3 linked regions of the Lepisosteus oculatus genome follow. The protein of the gene in region 3 interacts with the protein of the main gene of each other region in a pairwise test. Links are inferred from orthologs where the notes say so. Each region holds a gene or a part of one and is shown on either strand. Other genes may lie near its edges.

Evidence for each region.
Region 1: the proteins of wasla (region 3) and rnf8 interact in binary tests that used the Homo sapiens proteins (3 or more experiments, as listed by UniProt). The two-hybrid records come from large-scale screens. The link is inferred for Lepisosteus oculatus from reciprocal best matches to the Homo sapiens genes WASL and RNF8.
Region 2: the proteins of wasla (region 3) and arpc3 interact in binary tests that used the Homo sapiens proteins (3 or more experiments, as listed by UniProt). The two-hybrid records come from large-scale screens. The link is inferred for Lepisosteus oculatus from reciprocal best matches to the Homo sapiens genes WASL and ARPC3.

The regions. Positions count from the first base shown.
Region 1 is NC_090697.1:43,194,176-43,201,683, reverse strand, and holds the start of rnf8 (E3 ubiquitin-protein ligase rnf8), read right to left. Parts: upstream 3,072-7,508; 5' UTR 2,991-3,071; coding exon 2,865-2,990; intron 2,018-2,864; coding exon 1,889-2,017; intron 1-1,888. UniProt on the Homo sapiens protein: E3 ubiquitin-protein ligase that plays a key role in DNA damage signaling via 2 distinct roles: by mediating the 'Lys-63'-linked ubiquitination of histones H2A and H2AX and promoting the recruitment of DNA repair proteins at double-strand breaks (DSBs) sites, and by catalyzing 'Lys-48'-linked ubiquitination to remove target proteins from DNA damage sites.
Region 2 is NC_090717.1:10,186,481-10,194,582, forward strand, and holds the start of arpc3 (actin-related protein 2/3 complex subunit 3), read right to left. Parts: upstream 3,072-8,102; 5' UTR 2,966-3,071; coding exon 2,960-2,965; intron 2,381-2,959; coding exon 2,281-2,380; intron 1,624-2,280; coding exon 1,547-1,623; intron 412-1,546; coding exon 343-411; intron 1-342. Other genes in the region: gpn3 (GPN-loop GTPase 3), read right to left, coding at 5,202-5,270, 5,654-5,782, 6,452-6,548, 7,317-7,432, 7,908-8,032. UniProt on the Homo sapiens protein: Component of the Arp2/3 complex, a multiprotein complex that mediates actin polymerization upon stimulation by nucleation-promoting factor (NPF).
Region 3 is NC_090702.1:38,463,023-38,470,425, forward strand, and holds the start of wasla (WASP like actin nucleation promoting factor a), read right to left. Parts: upstream 3,092-7,403; 5' UTR 2,532-3,091; coding exon 2,421-2,531; intron 1-2,420. UniProt on the Homo sapiens protein: Regulates actin polymerization by stimulating the actin-nucleating activity of the Arp2/3 complex. Involved in various processes, such as mitosis and cytokinesis, via its role in the regulation of actin polymerization.

The sequences.
Region 1 (7,508 bases), on a different chromosome or scaffold from region 3:
CTGTTAAGCTTTACGTATCGGGTTTAGTCCATCAGCAGTGAACATGCGAAGAATGACTGAGGCATAAGCTGTAGCTGTAGTGTTGGCTGGGTCTACGTGTTTCATGGGGTTTGTCCAGCTTCCAGTCTACCTCTTGCTGATGGCGATGGTCACAAACAATAACTGTTGCTGTTGATGAATAGAATTGTCAGTATCCGACTAAAAATTGGAGAACTTGATCAATCCATCAAGCTTCAAAGAGATATACGTCTCCAAGCATTTGCTTCTTTCTTTACACAAATGTGTTGCTGTCCGTTCTGTCACATTAACACCAATTTTGCTAGAGGCGCCAAATGGCCTCCTCTTGTCTGTAACCTCTTCTAACATTTCGATACATATTACATTAATTGCTTTATTATATTCTTAATGGCGTCTACAGGAACAAAAAAAAAACACTGCAATTTGATCCTAACAGAAATATACAGCAGGTATTTTTGTAGATATATTTAGGTATATATTAATATGTAGAAATATTCTGTATTTCAAAATTCTACAGCTTGGATTATATGGATAATTTTGTTTCTGTCTTGGATTCAGATCGGTGAACAAATTATTCATATTGTAAGGCAACAGAAACACATCGTCATTAATCGCATTCAAGAAAATAAAATCTCTTTTTAAATGGTTTTAAAATGATCAAGGCTTTATATAAATGTTATTTTTGCGTCTCGACTAGACTACTGTATTTAACTAGGCATTTATAGTAACTGTTTATTAACGGTTAATGTAAGGGTTAGCAGATTTTAGATCACTTGATTTAAGTTTCAATAAGTTATATGAACATTTTAAACTGTTAATCTCTAAGAACCATTTTTACCCTGAATTTAATGCTTAGGAAAGGAGGCAGTGTTGAAAGGGGGAGTCTATTTCAGAAACTGGTCTACTCCTCTGCACAGTGGGGACTTCATCTTTTTTTGTGAATTCAATTCACAAGTGGAATATTAGTCTAAAACAAGGCTCATACTTATCTTGCGATGCCTGATGCGACAAACTCTATGATGTCCAGTGATTTATGAAAACAATACTTCAGAGCATTACGATTTATCACTGTAAAGTGTGTATATGACAACATTTTTTTCATTTGGTCTTTTTCATAACATATCTGTACCTATCTGAAAAAATGCTACAGGAGGGTTTATGGAATCCAGCGCTAGCTTTAGGTCACTTGCTATGCAAGGAAACACCTCTAAGATTTTTCTACAATTCTACAATTTGCAGAACAATAACCTGATTAAATACTGAACATGTACATCATTTTATTAATGTTCTTATTAATTCATAAATGCACGTACAAACTGCATTTCATAATACTAGAGATCATATTACATATGCAGCAAAACCAACCCATACTAATATTTAGTTATAGGTCAACTATAACTAAATATTATTTTTAGTGTGGCGGGGCAGTGGCCTTGTGGTTAAGGATCTGTGCCTGTGGCTGGAAGGTTGCCGGTTCGTATCCCGTGGCCGGCAGAGGAATCCGTCTCCATTGGGCCCCTGAGCAAGGCCTTTAACCCCAACTGCTCCAGGAGTGCCGTATAAATGTCTGACCCCGGGCTCTGACCCCAAGCCTCTTTCCCTGTCTGTGTGTCTGATGGAGAGCAAGTTGGGGTATGCAAAAAGACAAATTCCTATTACAAGAAACTGTATATAGCCAATAAAGTGATCTTATCTGTTATCTTATCTATTCACAAACCACATCTCAGGAATGTTCGGCCAACATTCACAGTGTCTTCAGGCAGAATAACAACTATGGGACCATTAGCAGTCTACCAGAAATTGAAACACAAAATCCAAAACCTATGCAAATAATACCCAACATAGTATGAAACTGAAATAAAGGCTCTACCTTATTATCTGTCACTGTCCAATGTCCCTCTTCATTTTGTTTGAATTTGCAGTGGTTTCTGGAAATCATTAAAGGACAGCTCCTTGACAGGGTTTGATAAGTGACATCAAAGCTTCGCCCAAGTGTCACCTAAGACAAGAAGAGGCATTATTAAAAATCAAGGTTTACTACTGAGGGCTTCTAGGCAAAGAATTACTACTGTTCTCCTGAACTTTAAAATGTAGCTTGACTTTACAACTTGACAAGCACTGAGGAACTTCAGATAAGATTTCTTTACTAGTGCAGTTGCAAAATACATGCGCCACTTGAAGGGAGTTTATTTTTGTTTGAAAGCTTAAATCATCTAAATCCGATTATTGCAACGTGCTTTTTAAAATTGTACCAATAGTATGCAGGCGATTAACGAAGACAAATGTTATTTTGATCCTTTAAACGATGAAGAGGGTGGGCTTTCAGATAGGTATAACAAAATAAACAAATTATTTATCTGTTTGTATTTTTAAACATGTAAATGTATGTGCAAGGAATAGTCGCTAGTGTTTCAATTACACTCGGATCCAGGTAGATGTGTAAACCGGGGAAACAGGAGTTAGGGGACTTCACCAATTCCACATTTTCATCACTTTCAGGTGACGAGTTCCGTTCTGCAGTGATAAACACCCCAGAATACAAACATGGATATGCTTCTGAAAAAAATATTATTGCATAACTAAAAAAACACCTTCTATTGCGATCCCATGTAACCCCATCCCTCCGCAATCATCGTCATTCGGCACAAAACACACATGAGATGTATTAAAAAGTAAAAGACTTGAAAACAGAAGCACGCAGCTCCGGTGATTAGGATCATATTTGCAACTTTTTACGACTCAAAATACAATTAAGACATTTTTGCAGGTACGCCACTTAGCTAAAAGTGTGAAGGGGGAGGGGTGTTTAGTACTGAAAGAGTAAATGAGAGGTAAGAGAACAAGACCTCTTCTTTCTCGGGCAGACGGAGCCACTCAGCCCTTTTTCCGACTCTTCTCAGGCACCAAATTTCATCTTTCGCGGCATCGTCTTCCTCGCCTGAAACCGCTCCAGACTCTGCTTCCTCTGCCATTATCCTCAGCCCATGACACTACCTCAATAACACAAAAAGTTAAACGCCCATAATTCCACGCTCTCTTGTGGTATTCACGTTCCTGCGCGCTTTTCCGGCGTGAAGCGCTGAACACCATAGAGGTTCTAAAAAAAAGGAGCGTTTCGTCACGTATCTGAAGGAATATCAGCGCCATCTTGGTGGGGTGGAGGACAAAAAAGATCTAACTCAGAATTCATTACATTATTATTCATTACACTTTAAAACATGATCATTTCTCTTTGTTAATCAAGTATTTGTGTTAATATACTCTAAAAAATATAATGTGCAAATATACAAAGCTAATTTATTATGTAACCCACACCATTTCCATTACTGAATATTTTCTATCAAAAGGAGGAGACAATGGGCATACATTATGAGATAACTTTTTATCAATATTGGCGGTAAATAGGTTCTGTATATATTTAAAAGTGCAGAGCGAATCTAACAATTAAACTGAAAATGAATGAAAAATACTGTTGGCTATCACTGGTCTCTCTATTTCTCATTTTGCAAGATTTTTTCTGTTTTTCGGAATTGTGCTCCTTGGAACATATTTGTACAGAAGGAATGGTAATCCATTATTTAGCCACATACATTAGTAGTTAGAGAACAAACAGTAAAATGTAGAAAGGGGAACAGAAGTCATCAGGAGGAGCAGGGTTTCCTTTCTGTAAGCACACAATAGCTACACCTACGTACCTGTAATCTGTTTTAAATATGCACATAAAGAAATGTGTGCGTTCTCTGAAACAGTCGACACATCTTTGTGTTTTTTACAATGTAAATGATGGGACTCTTTCAGCAAGAGAAATGTAATAAATGAGATTAGGGACAAACACTAGTTATGTATATGTGCTACTGAATGTGCATTTCTAGGCAATTTATCTGCTTCTGTTGGTAGCTGTGGATGGCTAAGGGAACAGTGGACAAAAATAGCAAAACAACGGAGATGTTTTCTTTGATGATTGTGAGAATAGAAAGGATGTTGATATCCGCTCTCAAGACTGACTTACAAAGTCTTTGAAACAATAAGAAAAATAGATTTTTGTAAGGCAGAACATGCTGTAGAGGAGGTATGGAGTGCATCAGCAGGTTTGTAATACACAGAAACCTTCAGTTCCAGGTGGCTAATATACCTACTTTTTGTATGTGCAGAAAAAGAAGAGGAGTGAAAGAGATGGATGGAAGTGGGTGAAGTGATGTAAAATTGCTGTAGTAGATTGCTAGAGCAGGTAGCAGCACCAACAAATTCATCATTGTATCAACGTCACCTAAGAAGTATCTTGCTTGTCCACAATCTCGTTTCATAGATCTCTTGCAGACAGCACTGCCATTAACACTGAAGAACTGGCGATGTGTTTCAGGCAGAACATGTGAACAGTAAGGATCAAAGGTTTCACCAAGACAACAGTTCCCTGATATACTGCACCTCTCTCAGACATTATTACATTGAACTTTGTCTTTTTCACATCTTCTGCCAGCTTGCAATCCTTGAAATCTCTCCGTTCATTTACAGATTTCTGCCTTAAACATTGCTCCACCGAATTCCATGTCTTTGGAGGACCCAGATTCAGATTCAAAGAACTTTATTGGCTTGACTGATGAATTATACAGTAGTGTTGCCAAAGCAGAAACAATGAACAAATCATTTACATTTACAGTAAAAAAAAAACATACTTTATTATTGGACATTGAAAGACATCATATAAAACTTTATTCTGAGACAGGCTCACTATATGTTCCTCAGGCTGTGAAAGGACAACACTGGGCTGCCGGTTCTGGGGAGTTTCCTCCCCGCTCCAACAACAGGATTGGAAACCATCCCGATTCTGGAAGGAGTGAGGCACCTTTTTTCATCTGCAGTGCCCATCCTTACATACCCTCTATGTGTTCTCCTTAAAGCCCCCTTTTCTTGTATCCCTTTTCTCTCCATCCTTCTTTCACATACTCACAGAAGAATCCACAGCTGAAATGTTGCATTTTTAATATTTTTTTCTTTCTACTTCCAGCATGGAATTAACCTCTCCTTGTTCCTGCTCTTCAGCTCCCACACTCGAACCTCTTAAACATACCATATTTGTATTTCAAATTTATATAATATTATAGTATATAGTATAGTATTTAATATTTAATATTTTCAATCCAGTTTTCCTTCTTTTTCATCGAGCAATATTAAGACACATTTGTGAAAGACTACAGTTGATTAATGAAGTAGACTTTTCCGTTTTGCGATTACATTACTAAGAACTACAGAAATGCTTCTTTCAAGAAAACACTAAATTTAACTCCACCTTCTGACAAATCCTGTGAATCAGTCCTTGAGTTAGAAAAAGTTAGAGTTAGTGGAGACAAAAATAAGGAGAGTGTTTCTTTGTTCTATATGAGTATTTGCACCTAAAAGGTATAATAAACAAAATATATAATTTAGATGTTTAACTACCACAGCTTTTGAAATCAAAGACTTCTGCAAAGAATGTTTATATTTTGTGATGCAATTGTATTGTTAATTATCAGGTGTATTATCAATATTGAAAACTGCACAGTGTAATTGTTATTAATTTATTTAATTTGACACTTTAAAAACTGATTTAAAATATCATAACACTCTAACAACTTTTTGATCATTTCCAGAAAAAGTGATGATGGCTTGTTTGGGTGAGATTTAAATGTGAACAAAAAAGGTGTGGTTGCTTATACTTCCATTAACAATGTTTGTACTATAAAATTTTGTGTGCAATAAACAATGTAAGTCAGATAAGTCACTTTGACCAAATAACACATTGTTATTTTAGCCCTGCAAATGAATACGGTTTGGCATTGTCAGCACATTTAATTCCTTTTGTTTTTTCTGTTGCTTCCTCGAATATAGAGGTCATTGATCTAGCTTTCCTCGTGTGTGTGGGAATTTCACATCGTAGCACAGATGCTTTTTGTACTTTGCACAACCCTCTGTCCTCTCAAAGGCACCTTTTTATTTTGTTTGGGGTTTTGATATGCACATAACAATTAGAGAAAATAAATCCAAGCCCCTTGTTGACTGTGACTAACCTTAATCTGAGTTCTTAATATCTAAAGAAAATGTCAGGCGTTACACGAGTCAAACATAGTTTAAGCTTCAATACATGGTTTGGAAGACTGATATTCATTTATTGTCCCACGGGTGTAAATTTCAGTCTCTTTTTGCCATGCATCTGCATCCATCCCTCAAGCCTCTCCACAATAGAGATGTGGAGTTTGAACATAAACTCAGAATGACAGAGTTGCACAAAAGGAGACAAAACAGATGGGGATGATAAAGTTCCACATCACTAGAATGGGATCTATTGTCTGTAATACAGTATATTGAACAGGCTTCTTGGAAAGGAAAGCAACAACTAAAACTGCTAAAGATTTTGAAGTGAACGTTCTCAGGAGCAACTGAAGCCCTGAAGCTTTTGTCTTTCTTTCCATATAGTGTTTCTTTCTGAAATATTCCTTAAATTCATTTAAGGCTTACATTTCTTAGTAATCTGAGAATGCCGTCACCAAAATATTAGTTTCCAGCTACCTGCAGATGAAAATCATACACTTTCATACTTTGCAGGGTTTTGTTAATTTAAGAATGAAATATAATGTATTTGTGCAGTCACAGATGTGCACAAAGAATAATGTTACAGTAGTTTGCAGTTCTGAGTCTCATTAGAGGAAACCTTCTAATGTACATACTTGCTTTTGAGTAATGGTGCCAATACAGAAAAGAAAAAGAGAAAAAACAATCATGGTAAAATACAAGAAAATGAATAGAAATTTAGCAGTTCCAGGAATTAATTACACTTTGGAATTAAACAAGCTTGCCAGATTTCTTATCAATCTTTGATGCTTTCATTTTTAAAATCTTCTGTATTTTAGTTACATTACCTTATGAATTTTGCTACTTAAAATCTCAGTAGATGTCTTGCACATACTGTATTTTACACACACAGAAAGTGGTTTGCATTCTGTAACCCTGGGGTGACGATTCAAGATAAGAGAGTCTATATACAGTATATGGCAATACATAGATATGTCATTAAAAAAAAAAGAAGGTAACACAAGCCTTGTTTACCCACTGTTACCGTGTCATACAGCTGTCAAGAAAATGTTTTATAATGGTACCGTTTATGTTGAAACAGTACAATTATAAAGACAGGCAAGCAATGCAAAATAAACGTTTACTGGCAAATTCAACATACGCCTTTAAAACTTTAGCTTCAGGGTCTTTATATACAGTACAATGAAATCTGCAAACTAATTTGATGAATTACTGCTCCCCTGAAAGGAAGAGTAATTTAAGATTTAATCCACACAGGCATTTAGGATTAACAGAAAAAAAAAAAAGATGTTAATTCAGAAATCCATTTTAATCTTCTTAACCTTAACCTTTCATAAAATTGGCTTTTCCATGTATTGTTATCCATTCGGCCAACAGCTGTGTCAGAACTAACTTAGACGATGTAAATATTTCATACACATCTC
Region 2 (8,102 bases), on a different chromosome or scaffold from region 3:
GTGCAATGTCATTACTGTATTTCTGTTGCATTGTGCTAGTACCTGAACTAGGCATCTGACAGAACAGACGCTGTCCTTAATGCACTGGCACTGCAAGCCCAGCAGGTTTCAGGGGTCCCTATGATGCAGAAGTCACCTGGCTTTCTTCTAGCTCGGACAGCACTTGGGTAACTGCGTGCATTCACCTGGGCAGTTCTGATCCTGATTGATTAATGCTCTAGGCCTTGCCCTCAAAGAATGACCCAACCATCAATGCATGCAATGTCTTCTGAAGATTTTTGATTTGGTGATTTGGTTTGGTGTTACAGTCGAAAGTTACTGCATGATCCGTGCCTCTCTCACCTTCTGAAGCTTCTTGAGACATTCCGAAATGTACAAAGTCACGTAGATTAAAGTCCGGTCAGCTTCATTCTGCAAAGGAAATCAAAACCAAACTTTTTAACCCATTTTAAAAAACAAAGCAGTGTTTCTTGGCTCCATTCTTTGACAAGCAGTTGAGTCTTTTGATTTAACTAGGAAGTCCAAACCTTTTTGACTTTACTAACCTCCAGAACAATGTGCTTTAACCTCTTATAGACAAAATCACCTCCAACCTGACTGTGGCAACCAGTAATTGAACATCAAAGGAATATTTTTCCCCAATATATACATTCAAGACGAACAGTACAGCGTGCTGTAACTCTGAAAGGAAGAACTGTGGTAAATACCCAGTACAGCTCTTGTCTCTCTATTTGATCAAGCTCAGGGCATTAATGAAGGGAGAATAGTTTCTGAACTTCACTGGAGGAGCTGCAGTGGGGCCCAGATGGAGAGCTATGATTAGACTCTGAGGCATGGGGTCCTGTTGCAACTGAGACAGGCCCAGACAGGTAGGCACCTTTCCCTCCTGGAGGAGGCAAGAAGCAGCTGTGAGCCGAGGGCAGAGGGAAACGCCCACTCCTGAGCGGAGCTGTGCTCTGGTCACAGGAAAACACACCATCCCCACTTCCTGCAGGGGTACTGCAACAGTTACCCCATCATGCAGCAGTACCTCATGAGCAATTTCGGACAACGTAAAAAACGAGTCAGACCACAGAATGTCTTGGTAATCACACCCACACGAAAATTGTTAATTTAGGAAAGTTAATCATCTTGTTTGATTAAATAATGTAGCATTATTACAATGGAGCACAAATTACAGCTGAATGATTTTACTGCACAGACTGCATGTTCTCTGAGTGCAATACTAGTCAAACCAGACAAGTAGCCAGGATCCTTCCCTCTCTTTTTCCGTCAGAATGAAACTTCACGTTTCATGATTCTATTCATTTGTGTAAGACGACTTGCCTGAACACTAAAAACTGTTTAAGAGACGGACAACGTCACATCTTAAGGGATCAAAGGAAATTTGAAGAAGTTGTTTCCGATTTTAACAGGCTCGTACTGCTGTGCTTTACACAAACTCCTTTTCAATAGAAGAACGCGTTTTGTTTCTATTCGTACGTTAACAATATAAATGCAAAGGTGGTGTGTGCTCATGTGCTACATGGGGGGTATTTTCACTTACCTTAATTTCATAATTCTTGAAGAAGACATTGGCTTTGAAGTAGTAGATGGCTTCGTCAATGATGTCAGAATCTTTGGCTAAGATGGGGGAGAATGCGTGTATGTTAAGCGAACTGAATTTAAAAAATCAAATGGTGATGGGTAAAAAACAAACAAACGATGATGATAGCAGCGAATCTTAACATTTCGCATCAGAGAAACTTTCAGTAAGAGCAAACTTTCCAAATAAGGAAGCCAGAGACGTTCGGGTCGTGACGTCACAACCATGCAGGTCTGGTTTTGACACGCAGACGCGAACAAACCGCAGAAAAGTCAAGCGGACGGAAAATATCTGCCCGTGCATAGAGACACACGACAGTCCAGTCGCCATCATGTAAAATCGACGTTTGTTTTTTTTTTTTTGGAATAATTTAATCCACCTGTCCACAAGATAAACCTGGAATATACATTAATAGCTGATGTGTGGTGAGCGTTCTGGCGCACTATGGCTGCCGTCGCATCATCCAGGTGGATTCTGCACATTGGTGGTGGTGGAGGGGAGACCCCATTACCTGAAAAGCGCTATATAAGTGTAAGCAATTATTATTATTATTATTACATGAAGACATGAGAACAGGAGTAAACATCGCGTAAAGCTGAGCAAAACCATCAGCAACACAAGACGCACTGTTCACATGCCGCGCTACCTTCCAGGTTTCAGGGTAATTCAGACCACCCAGGCTCAGGGGTACTCACTTTCCCTGGGAGCCGGCCCTTTAAACTGGGTTCTCAGGGGCAGCAGAGCCATGTTTCCAATCAGTTTGGTGTCGGGGTCCATCAGGTTCGAATGGTAAGCCTGCACAGAACAGAACAGACATGCACGATCGGCTTCCCCGCACACAAACAAATCACTCCACAATTCAGAGCCCTGTCAGCTGAAGGTAATGAGGATTTAACATTCGTCAAACTAACTAAATTACATATTTTGGTGGGATAAAAAATGATACATCTTGAAGTTATTCGAGTACGTCGGAAGTCAGTTTTAACCCCCGACTGTTGTTTGAAAAAGAAGCATTTTATACTTGGGGATTAGGAAGTGTTTCAAATAAACACCCGTAAGATGAAGCTTCTATGCGTTGAAGTGCGGGTACTTCTTTCCTCCGTTGCCCTGTGCAAAACGTGCCTCGTTTCCCTGTGTGCAACGCAGCTTATTTTTTACTTTTAAAAACCAAAATGTTAAGTTGAATAATTTAAAATTCCTACTGGGCCCGATTCACTTCCTGAAAAAAAACCTATAGATTGACTACTGTAGTCGCTCCCAGTGCCTTTTCACATCCGTTTGGTTAACTACAAAAAGCCATGGAATAAACCAACAGTAATTAAAAGCAGGCTCATACACCTACGAACATGAACTAAATTAACTAGCAAAACTTACCGGCATTTTGAACCTGTATTTTCTCCTGTTAACACCGATAAAATGCTGTCAGACCCGGCGCACAACACTTCCGCTGTCCCACCCAGAATCTGCACCAGCAGGAAGTGACAAACCGCTTCCACCTTCCAGCTGTAAGTGCACCGCACTGCCACAAGGTGGCGCGCAGCACGATGTACGTTTTCTTAAAACGTGAGATTTTACAGAAGATCAATTGTATCGAAATCCTTAAAAGCACTGAGCTAAAATAAACTCACTGATTTTCGTTTTCGATTTGCGAATTATACAGTTAAGTACACGGATAAACAGAAAATAAAATCCAACATGTTGGATTATTATATAGAAAATAATCAGCTTAATTGTTTAATTGGCTAGCGAGACCTAATCAACTGAGACTTTCCAGGAGCTCGGGTTTTACACCCCTGGACCACCCTCAAGGCCTGGGACACCATACACTGCTGAGAACCCATATCTTTAAATTGCTCTAGTCACAGCAGTCGTGACAGGTGTAGCTTAATAATACGGGTCCCTTTATCTTTATGACATACAGAGACGATACCAAGACTGGCAGACTGAACACCTACTGGAGTTCAATTAAAAGTAAATCAGTGGTTAACAGAATTGTCGTATCTTGGAAAGGGCTTTATGTGAATATATTTAAATAGAAATTAAAGTGATGTTGTCTTTTCCATTTAAATGAATTTGATCACGACTGGAAGATGTGCTGTCTTTTGACATTGTGTTTGAATTATCTTGAGTCATAATATATATATATATTAATCCATTAGTTTTATTATCCTTTAAAATAAAGAGCATGTGATAATGTGTGGGAGTTGTTTTGCAGTGTTTTTTCTTAATCAGATTAGATGCTGTATTCTTCCAAAAGGTCTTAAGTTAACTGTGCAAGAAGCACCGAAAGTAACTTCAGCATAAAACCATTCTATGAAAAAACAGGAAGCTGGAAATTGATTTTCTGTACTGTGTTGAAATAATGTACTGTAAAATATCTCATTTATAGCATTATAAAGGATAATTAAGATGTGTGATTCAGAATAGAAAACGTAGAAACACGTCTCTAGATCATGTGCAATGCTAGAATCAAGAGGTGGCTTTGCAGTCCATCCGTCTTGTTTTGATTGCTAGGTCATTGCAAGTAGCTAATTGATGAGAGAATCTCAAGCAGCTGTTTTCTGAAGGGAACCAGTGTCTCAGCTTCGGTATTGCAGCTGGGTAGCTTGTACCAGACTCCTACAAACCTTGACATCAGAAGTGCCATCTGGCCCCTGATTTAAAATACACTTCCCCTCAGTTACCATTTGCACCCTCTAGGTTGTTTCAATGTCAATTATTTTATTAATAAAATATAAATTTCCAAACCGCAATTCAAGATTAAATTAAATTACTAACCATGAACTCCCACACTAAAAAAAAATCCATACATTCCACAGGCCCATAGCTCTCCACCCAGACCCTTGTGCCAAAGCTGAAGGTCTCATACTTCAGAAGTCCAGTTCTGATCCTGGAGAGAAAGACATGCAAGGGTTCCCAAACAACACAACACAACCAGTTGCTGGAATAATTAAGAATATTCATGGTTAATGGGTCCTGTGATGTCTGAAAGACTTGGGGCACCCCAGGGCCAATGCTGGAATCTACTGCAGTGATAAAAAGCATTACTATTAAACAACTCTTTACATTTCAATCATCTAATTAAAAAATAAAATGCAAAACAACATTTGTACCTCTGAACGCCCACATAACAGGAAAGACAAATGTCTTTAAAAATCCATCTTGGTTGGTTTGAACAAAGTTTCAGTTCAGTGTAAAAGGATAGAAAAAAGTCCCTATTTGCCGTGAAACAATAAATAACCTAAATAAAATCTGCCAAGGAACTGACAACAACGCAACAAGAGTTCTGGGGGCAGGAGGGTGTGTTCACTTGAGACCCTAGTCCTCCTCTTCCTACCAGGCTTGTCAGGTTGACAGCGGACGAAATGAATCAGATAACTGAAGACCTTTTTCAAGCTACTCCAGGTAAGGACCATGAGACTCGTGCTGGGCAACCCGGCATTACATAGGCAGTAGATATCAGAGGTTTCCGTTTCTATAAAACAGAAGGACATTTAAAAGATGACGGAGGCATCGGCTCAGTGCGGGAGTCCTGTTCGGAGTCTTTCAGGAGATGAGGAGCCAAAGCAGAATGTCACTGGCCGGCATCTGCTGCCTCTCCTTCCTTCTCTTCATCTTATTCCCCCAGTTTGTCGTGGAAGAACTCATCACAGTAGGGACTGGAGTCTTCATCAGGCTCAGGCTCCTGCAATGGACAACAGTAAGGTTCCCACACAATCAGACTGCAGAAAGGGCACAGACTTGTTACTTAAAGAGGTTTGAATGCAGTTTCAATGAATTGTGGGAAGTTAAACTTGGATACACGCTTCCAAAAAAACAGCAGGGCACACAACCTACACTGTGACCTAAGACAAAAGTATCTAAAAGTGGTTTTGATTTCACTGAATATGAGGAATACAAAAAATGCATATTATGAATAACACAATCTCCAAAATTAATCCTGAAGGTTCATTATGATTGTAAATATCTCAGAATGCATTTCTCGAGAACAGTGTTTACTTCAGAGCTCAACTCACAACGCTAAATAACACGGATCTCCAAGCAGCAGGTGACTGCTGCATCAATTACCTTGGGCTCCTTGAACTCCAGGTCCTCCCCGTACTGGATGGACAAGTCGATGTGCTGCAGCACGATGCCTATCCCCTCCTCGTCTGTGCGATCGAAGGGAAGAAACCGCACCATGCTGTAATCGTCAATCTGCACACAGAGACCCCAGGACAGCTCAGACACACCCGCCACCCAGTGTAATGACAGATTTTATTTGACATCTCACTGCATTCCTGTCCGACAAACAGATGTTTTCTGCTCCTTTTCTGTTCCACCTGCTCATCTAATGCATTTAGGTGCCAGTCTTTCTGCCTCCGATGCTTGGCAAATCTGCATCTTGTTTCAGTAATTCAAAGCACTTTTGTACCTTTGCTATTACTACTGTAATGCAGTTTACTGTAACCCTTCTTAGACTCTCTGCCCATGAGAGGAGAAAGTGTGGTATCCAAATAGAAAGGACATGTGGGTAATTGTTTAAATAATCGAATATCCTCTATTTCTTTTAATGCAGAAAGCACTGTATTATCAATAACAATATCTGAAATGAGACACATTTATTAGGGTTTAAATTAAAAAAGGAAAGCCAAAAAGTTTTAGGTTGTGAGATTCTAGGAAAACTGTGTTTTTTGTTTAGCTATGGATTTGAAATGAGGAAGATCCCCAATTCCTTCATCACAAATTCAGGGAAATAATGTTGGCAGATCATTATTGTGAAGGTAAATTAATTATAATTATGAATTAATAATAAATTTAACTTTTCTTCATATATATATTTGAATACATTATTCACTGAATATGCAGAATTTTAAATGCTCTTACCAAACCACAGATAGCCTTAGTCAGCTTCTTGAACTTTTTACTTCTTAGCGTGAGAGAATTATCTTCAATCATAGAGTACATATCTGGGTCTAAATATCTAAAAGACATGGAAGGAAAAATATCAAATCCTTTTTACCATTCTTAAATAAAATGCTAGAAAAGTCAACACATTAGTAATTTACAAACACAAAGGGGGTAGCAAAACCTTTGTTAAAATTCCATTATTTTTGACTTGACGTTAACAATAAAAAAAGAATGACTATGTAAAGGACCTTTTCTTTTTTAACATTTAATCCTTTATACAATAAAATTAATCATCCATCTATCCTCTAAGTGCATCTTCCAATCCAGGGTCACGGAGGAGGCAAATCCTTCCCCAGCCAGCAGGGGCTCAGCCAGACAGACAGACACACTCACAGGGCCAGCTGTCCAGGAAGTCAATCAACCTACCAGCATGTTTTTGGATTGTGGGAGGAAACCTGAGCACCCAGAGGACACCCACACAAACACGGGGAGAACACACACACAGATAGCACCTGAGGTCTGGAACTGAGCCCAGCACCCCAAAGCAACGAGGTAGTAGCGCTGGCCACTGTACCCCCACACAGCCCACACAGGGAGGAAACCATTGAAGCAAATTCTCACTTAAAGACCTAACAAAGTGAATGAAAAGAATAAAAACAAACCAAGATTGCACTGACTCAAGCGCAGTATTGGTTCGCTTTTGTACAAAACCTGTCAACCTCAGGTGAGCAACAGATTTGACAACACAGTTTTTCTTTACATGTGCTCTACTTCACCACTACCGCTTCTTCATGACTCTAGGACTTGCTAAAACTCTCTGCTCCCCATGGCTTGAACCTACTTTTCAATTTCCTTCTTAGCTTTTGGACTCAGCAGGTCCATTTTCGTCATGATGTTGACCTGGGGGATCTCCAGGGAAACCATGGCACTGAGAGCCGCCATGACACCAGAGATGAACTGGAAAAGCAATCAGAGGGAAAGTGCTTGTCAAAGACCGGCGGCCATGTCGACAGACAAAGAGCAGAGGCCAGGTTTCTAAAATATATGATCTTCATCGGGATTTCTGAAGCTACGTCAGGAGCTAGGGAACCGAATGTTTCTACTGCAGGAAATGGGGACAGTCAAAAAGACCACTTCAAATCCTGGTACTCTTGTGATCTGAGATTAGCAAAACAGGTTAAACATGGAGAGTTTCTTGGTGGTTTGGTAAAAACTTGTGTTGAAAGTTTAGAACCAAGATCCACTTTAACAAGCTAATCCTTTTATTGTCCGTTTACTTCCACTCTTTTTTGTCAGGTTTAGAGCCATTTGGCCCTTCACATAATGTGCACAGATTTGAAAGAGCAGGTAGCAGAGCTGCAGGAAAGACAGTGATATTTCACGGGGATCCTGGCAGTCTGGGGGCGCTGGTGTCCCGGTGCTGGCTCCTGACCTTGAAGGACTCCACCATGAACTGCGAGTCGACAAGGAAGACGCCGCACACCCGGAACTCCCACTGCTGTAGCTGCTCCACCAGCTGCTTCATCACGGGCAGGTGGGTATACAGCTCGATCTGACCTGGGGGACAGCGTCGAGACACAGGCCTAACAGATGAGTCACTCGGGCATCGTACAGGACGCTGGCATTC
Region 3 (7,403 bases):
AAGACAGAGAAATAGGATTTATTATACCAAAGCTGATATGATTTTTTTTATTTGTATTTGCAAATTTAAAGTCAAAAGGTTTTTCATTGCTGAGTGAATATGAAGTCATGGACAGCGAGTAAAAATACCACTTACGAAATATGACTTATTACAACATTATTGATCCTTCCCTACAGAAAACCTTACAAGATGATTAATTTCATATATGATATGGGTCATTATATGAATTGATTCATGTGCAGCAGTTCAGTTTTCATTTTCAAACTAGTTTTCATATGCCTTCAGAAACTAATACTTTTATTCCCTAAATGTCAGTGTATTTAGGGTCTGTGCATCTCAATAAAATATTACAAAACATGTTTCTATAAAGACATTTGTAGACAGTGAAGGCAGAAATTAGGTTTTTACAAACACTAAGCCTTCACAAATTTTGGGGAAATCTCAAATATGATAATACAGAAAAAAAGACAATATATAAATAATGGAACAAGTATAAATTAATATTAGCTGTTCAGCATTCTTCAGGTGCAAGGCTCAAAACTTCAACAGCTGACATGGGTTTCGTTTCTACTTTTCAGTGTACAATTAACCAAAAGTTTCTGCTTTGCAATCTGCATACTCTCAAATCTCTAGGTATAGGTATAGTGTTTTACACTGATGGAGAGGAGATGTATTTCAGATTAAAAAGCACATCCATTAAATAACTTAATTTGTTAGATAGTCATAAAAAATGGTAAGCACAGTAAATCTAAAGACTTGTGCAACATTTTTCACGTGTTTTTTTTTTCTTTTGACCGGGTATCATAAATGTGTAGGTAACTGCTATTAACCTGGGAGAACCCCTTTTCACTAATTTAAAAACTGTCACAATTTAACATCGCTCCAGATAACTATTCATGTTTACGTACGTTTATAAACGAGCTACAATAACTTTATCACAGCATGCATAAATGCTTGACAAAGTACATCAACACTTGTGCTGAACAGAGCAACAGAAAAACATTTTACAATTTAGGAGACTTTGTTGCTACTAAGCCACTTTAATGCGACAGTGATAAAATGCCGCATAGTAAACCTTACAGTAATTCTAATGAATCGCGTCTCTTTCTGGTATCCACAATGAAGTGATTAAATAGATATGTATGCAGGAATAAAGATCTTTTAAAAAGCTGCGTGTGCGTTTTAACAACTGCTGCATGAGAAAGGGACGAAATCTTGATGACGCATGATCAGGTGACAGCACAATAGATACTTCGCTGAGATGAGGACTGTTAATCGCAGGCTTCTGAAGTTCTTAAATTATAACTGCTATAGGCAGGGATTTAATAAGTATCATGATTTAATAAACAACCTCATATGAAAAACAAAAAGCCGTTTAACGAAACACAGTCCAGTTCAAAATGAATTCGATTGCAAGATTTTTTTTTTACATAATGTTTTCAAATTACCTCCTGTTGAAGTTACAAAGTTATAGTGAATGGTTCACTTCACTTGGCTACCTCTGCAAGAAGCTTGTCTTAGTTCACAACGACACTAACTCCCCGCAGCAGGTGAGTAAGGCAGGTATAGGGCGTTACAAGGCGAAAATATCCATAACGCCCTTGAAGGCTCCTTTTTGGAAACATACAGGCCCTGTATCAACAGGAACATGCTGTAACACTAATGCAGAAATTACTCAGTCGACTATTAGCGCCCTCGGACTCAACTGAACATACTGTAACTTATGGCACCCCCACCTCTCCTGAGATTCTCCTGATATATTTGAACATTCAAAAATTAACACAACTGAGTTTAGGCATCCCTTTAACCCCTGCCATCCCCTCGCTTTCCCAGTTTCTTAAACGCAATGACATTTTCCGGAGAATGTTATGAAAAAAAAAAACAAATCAACATTAGAACAAGCGACAGTACAGCGGCACTATCTTATTCTGCTGCTGAGTGATCCGAGTGGAGCAAAAACAGTGTTATGTAATGGAATCCCTCATAGAATGTGCTTTCCAGCTGACCGAACTTGCCAGCTCCATATTCGATGAGGAAAATAAACAGGCACCGCGGAGCGCAGAGGTTCCGGCTCGCGCTCCGGACGCCGTCGGACACGAACGCGGCCTCGGGGCTCCCCTGCCTTGTCACACCGACCTCCGGACAGCCAGTGCCAGGACAGCACGCTCCATATCCACGCTCTTAAACCCACAACCGTACACGCAAGCATTAACCTAAGACCAAGGGGATCCAGGCACTGTTGTTTTGCTTCACTTTAGTTCTCTTTAGAAAAAAAAAACCCAATGCAGTTTAGGCCGTTTTTAATGAAAAACTTGGCCGATAATTTGTTTTAAGATAATTACAAGAAGATCCCATACTTGTCTACAAGTTATAATAGTATGGACGAGACTAAAATCGAGTAAGTAAATGTTAAAACTTACGATGCATTTCCTGCCGAGGCAATTGAAGAGGCATTCGTTTTCTTGTGGGGTGAGAAGCATAGAGCTCACATTTGTGACACGCCGCGGCGGAGGGGGATGTTGGCTATTCATGATTGCAGGGGTAAAAAGCCAGACGAATATATGTATATAACACTAATTAAGGTATTTTATAAAATGTCTTCAGTCATTGATCAGCGTGGCCTTCCACCGGATCTTCTCATTGATGCTGTAGGTGCTTCTCTCCGAGAGGAATGCGACGGGGGTGGGGGGGTTAAATACTGTTCTGTTTCTGTAGTTTGGGTATTTAATGCAAACAATCCCTCGGCCTTCCGAAGTGCCCCAGAAACTTGGATCTCTCGGTTGGACAAAAACCTAAACTTTCATCCGAACTCCAACAGCAGCATCGGCAGCTCTATCCAACATGGCAGCAGGAAGAAACAACCACTAACCAAACGGGGGAATGCGGGAAAACATAGCGAGCTGGATTCAACTTCGTCCCTTCTTAAAGCTGTCCGGGGATGGTAAAATCAATCTTGATTGCAGCAGCAGGTACGCCGCTCATCCCTGATAGCAGAGAAAGCCAGGAGTGTAAAATTGCCCAGCGCCTCCGGAAACACTTCCTTGTGTCAGGGAATGGTCTAGCCCTGTTGGCCTGTGGATTTTGTAACAAATGCAGTATGCAGAGGGGTGAGCATTTAGCAGGGCGGGGACAAGAGGAGCGTGTTGCCAAGTTGGTGCTAATGTAAACTAAGGGGTGCAGTAAATCCGGACGTAATATAAGTCAAACACTTTGTGCCTTAGAGCAATTTTTGTATTTCTATAATTGTGTTAAATATGAAAATCCTACTCTGTAATCCTTTGTTATTTTCAGCTTCATTACCTAGGTTTTTAATAACATTTGCCTAGCAGACGCCCATACCCAGAGCCGCTTACAAAATATACAGTAATACACAACATACTTCCAAAACTTAATCAGCTTCATAACAACAGCAACAGCAGTGCAGTTGTAATAATAACAATTGTTTTTTTGTTGTTGTTAGTAGTTTAGTAAATAACTTACTACAAATTGACTTGCATCATAATTTCTGTGATGTCGGGTGGAGTGTCTTTAAGTCGCAATTAAAGGACATCATTTTTGAATTGTCTGACATTGTGCTGTTGAGGGCGCTGAAAATCAATGGATCTAGTTTAGACCACCATTTGCGTTTAACTTAATAGCATAACTAATGAATGTTTAGGGAGACGGGACAAATTAATTGGTGCGTTGAGAGCAAAATGGGAAACCAGGAAAGTAAATTTGCGTTTTGTGATATCTGTGCACTGCCATACTATTCAACTATGAAAGTCAATGCATTTTACACATTAGATACTGAATTTCTTCAATTCAATTCTTTTATTCCACTTTGTCAGCGAATACCTAGCCCCAGGGGTACCTAATCACGATGCCAAATAAGGTATCGTTCTATTTAAATGCCTTAATTCAGTTTTAAAGCAGATAAAGCACTCATTTTATAGTTTAGAACAGAATTATATCAGTCATGTTTGTCACTAGACTTCTCACACTTAAGCAATATTAAAGGACAGTTCTAGGAAATATTTTTTTTATAAAATGTCATGTTGCATTATAAACATTAAAGGTAAAGAACAGAAACCAACAGAAACTACAGTATGAATCCTCTGGGAATGGGGAAGAAAAAATTGTTTTCTGAGTCACATGAACATTCAGAGATCAGATTACCAGAATTTGTAATTGTTCTACAAATGGTATGCATCTTGTACTAATGGATGAATTTGTCAGATGTCTTTAATTACTGTGGTGATGATATACAGCTTCAAAATTTTGTAAAAATCCAGAGGTGGGGACAGAGAGGCTCCTACTGTAGGTTACAATTTGAAATTCCAGTTCAAAAACAGGTCAAATTATCTAGGTTTGTAACCCAGACTTAATTATACATATTTATACCTTCTAATGATACCAAGCTCCATTGAAGCAAATTTCATTAAGGTTCAAAATGGCTTTCTCAATAAGAGAGTGTACAGTACATACATATCATCTGCAAAGCTTTGTAGGAAGACAGAAAAGAAGCCTTTGTGTGAAGACAAATGATAAGAAGCAGTGTCCAGCAGTAAGAAAGTCAGGGTTCTGGATTCCAGCTGGAAAGTCAAGGGTTTTAACCCTGAATGGAACACTGCAGTTGCATCCTTGAGCATTAATCACAAATGCAAGTTTTTTTTAAATAATAATGTCACCCAAATACAAAAACAAATGTTGAGAAGAATGATGACCAGGTTTAGTAAGATAAAGCTCAATTTGTATGGCATAAAGAGAACATATTAATAACATTGATTAATTGTTCTTGCTAAATCCTTACGTTTTGTCCCTAAAATACTGAATATCAGCTAAAATCTATTGACTCTGTTAACTAGAATCATCTTTATAATTATGGATACATTACAACATAACCAATAGAATAAGTCTTCAACAGGTGTTTATTTTTATGTAATTATTATCTTATATATGGTACATAAATTCTTAACAGGATTTGTTTTTAATCTTTTACCACCGAAATAGCTGACTTGTTTTACTGTCGCACATCAGAATCCACTGATATATCCTTGTTACAGATTTGCCAGAGTAGGTGAGATGTTTGTGCATGCAGACATAATTAAGCAAGTTTGCAAACATTTTTTTGGATGAGCTAAAATCATCTAGGCTATGTCTATTTATGAGCTAAGGAATGGCATCAGTGAAAGACCATTCCTACTGTATGGAGCTTGGAGAGGAGCCTGTCCCTGCCTCAGAGGATTTAGTGTCTATATACTGTATAACTCTCCACTGCCTTTTTCATAAGAATTTACTTAATTTAATCTTTACAACTGAATTCTTGTCAGCTGTATATTCTTAAATGGTAAAATACTTATATTTGAATCTAATATCCCTTGTGATGTATTTGGCCATTTGAATGGTTTCATTCAGGTTTCTATTTGATTTTGCATTAATTTGGGCATTTTCTGCCTGTCAAAGGGAATTCAGCGCTTATTAATTATTTAACATAGTTTTAAAACCACTGTTTCCAATGTTATCCTTACCAATACTGAGAATGAGTTTTCTGAATCATAGAAATGCTAGAGGTTTAATACACACTTAGGATTATGTTTGTAATTCCTGCTTTTCTGGTAATGTTAAAAGGGTAGGGGTGTTATCTCAGTGTCCTGGCCAAATTTCCCATTGGCCTTTACCACTCATGGCCTCCTAATAATCCCCATCTCTCAATTGGCTTTATCATTCTATTCTCTTCTAGTCTTCTGGCGCACTATAACTGACGTCACATCATCCAGGTTGGTGCTGCATTGTTGGTGGTGGAGGGGAGCCCCCATTACATGTAAATCATTTTGTAAATCACTTTGAGCGCTATATAAGTGTAAGGACCTGTTGTTGTTATTGTTAATAATAATAATAATAAAAAAAAAATACTTTTTCAACAATGCAACAGTACTTTATGTTCATTATGTCTGAAAAAATGTTAGTTGTACATTTCATAATACGATTGTGAATATCTGTCTAATATAAACATAGCACTAAAAAATAAATGAATGCAATAAGAACAACTGTGTTTTATAAGCAAAATATACATTGAGAAAAAAAATATTTTGGACAATTTGTTAAAAAATTATTTTAAGCCAGTGTCTGCTCTTTTTACGAAGGACAATTTATTAATATATTTCAGAGAATTAAAATAATGTTTTTCCTCAATACTGTATATTCTAGGTGCTATTGACATTATACTGGCCTTTGTAAATAGTTTTTTACTGATCTGATGCTGTACAGAGTAAACCCCCCCAAAAAAAACTAATATAATCCCTCCAGCTGTAAGGTCTAAAGCTATAATTAAAATAGATTCTTTCTTTCTGGATATACTAGACCAAAGCCCCAATATATGATGATGAAATGTCTTTTCCCTGGAGTGTATAAAATGACATTTGCTTCTAACCACTCCCTCACGGATTCTTTGTCATCAGGAAAAAGGCAGAAAAAAACAGGAAAAACAAGGTGGTTTGGGATTATTTATATAGGGGAACCCTTTAAGAAGAAAGGAAACCTGAACCTGAGTATTAAAAATGCAGCCTGTGTTTCTGAATAGACCATAATATAGATTCTTAATAATCTAAAAAACCAAACACTGAGTACCTACCTTTTTTTTATGAAATCAAATAACTTTATCTGTTTTATTATTCCATTAAATAGTAATACTCAATCAAAAGAAAACTGTTTACTATTTGGAATGGAATATTATAAGCTATTTACTTAAAACTTTATTAAATTACCAGATAGGTCAATTTAAAGCAAATTCCCATTTAGGTCATCCCATTTATGACCTAGGAGGAACCCTTTTCTGGAGCACAGCATTTAGGAGAAATCTTAGTGAGATACATTGCACAAGGGTACAACAGCAGAATATGACATGAGATCTGAATCTATAATCCTACTGTTTCAGAGCCTTCACCACTAGTCCACACTGTTGCCTCAACTTAAACTGTTGCATTTTCATTTTGCATCAGTGTACCATGACTGCATTTCAGACAGCTGTGTGTAGTTATCACTACATATGTGTTGGTTTAGGCCTGAAAATTTGGCCATTTGTGTTTTCTGTGGTTCACTGCTGGAAGTCATTTTGGGTAAAAATACATGGGGCCATTTGACAGTAGTAGCATGCCAGCTGTAGGCCAGTACCAGCTTCTTCAGAAACAGCAGTATGTCAGCTGTTGGCCAGTAACAGCTTCTTCATAAAGAGCAGCCTGGGCATGTGTCTCTTATTACTAATATGTGTGGACTAGTATGGATCCATATAATCAGAAATATACTGGGAAAATACTGGTTGCACATTCTGTGCTGTCTCAACTATCACATGTGGCCTAGTATTGTGTCAGTATCACTTGGTTTATATTCTAGACCATTAGAATATTTAGACTTTATCTGACTTC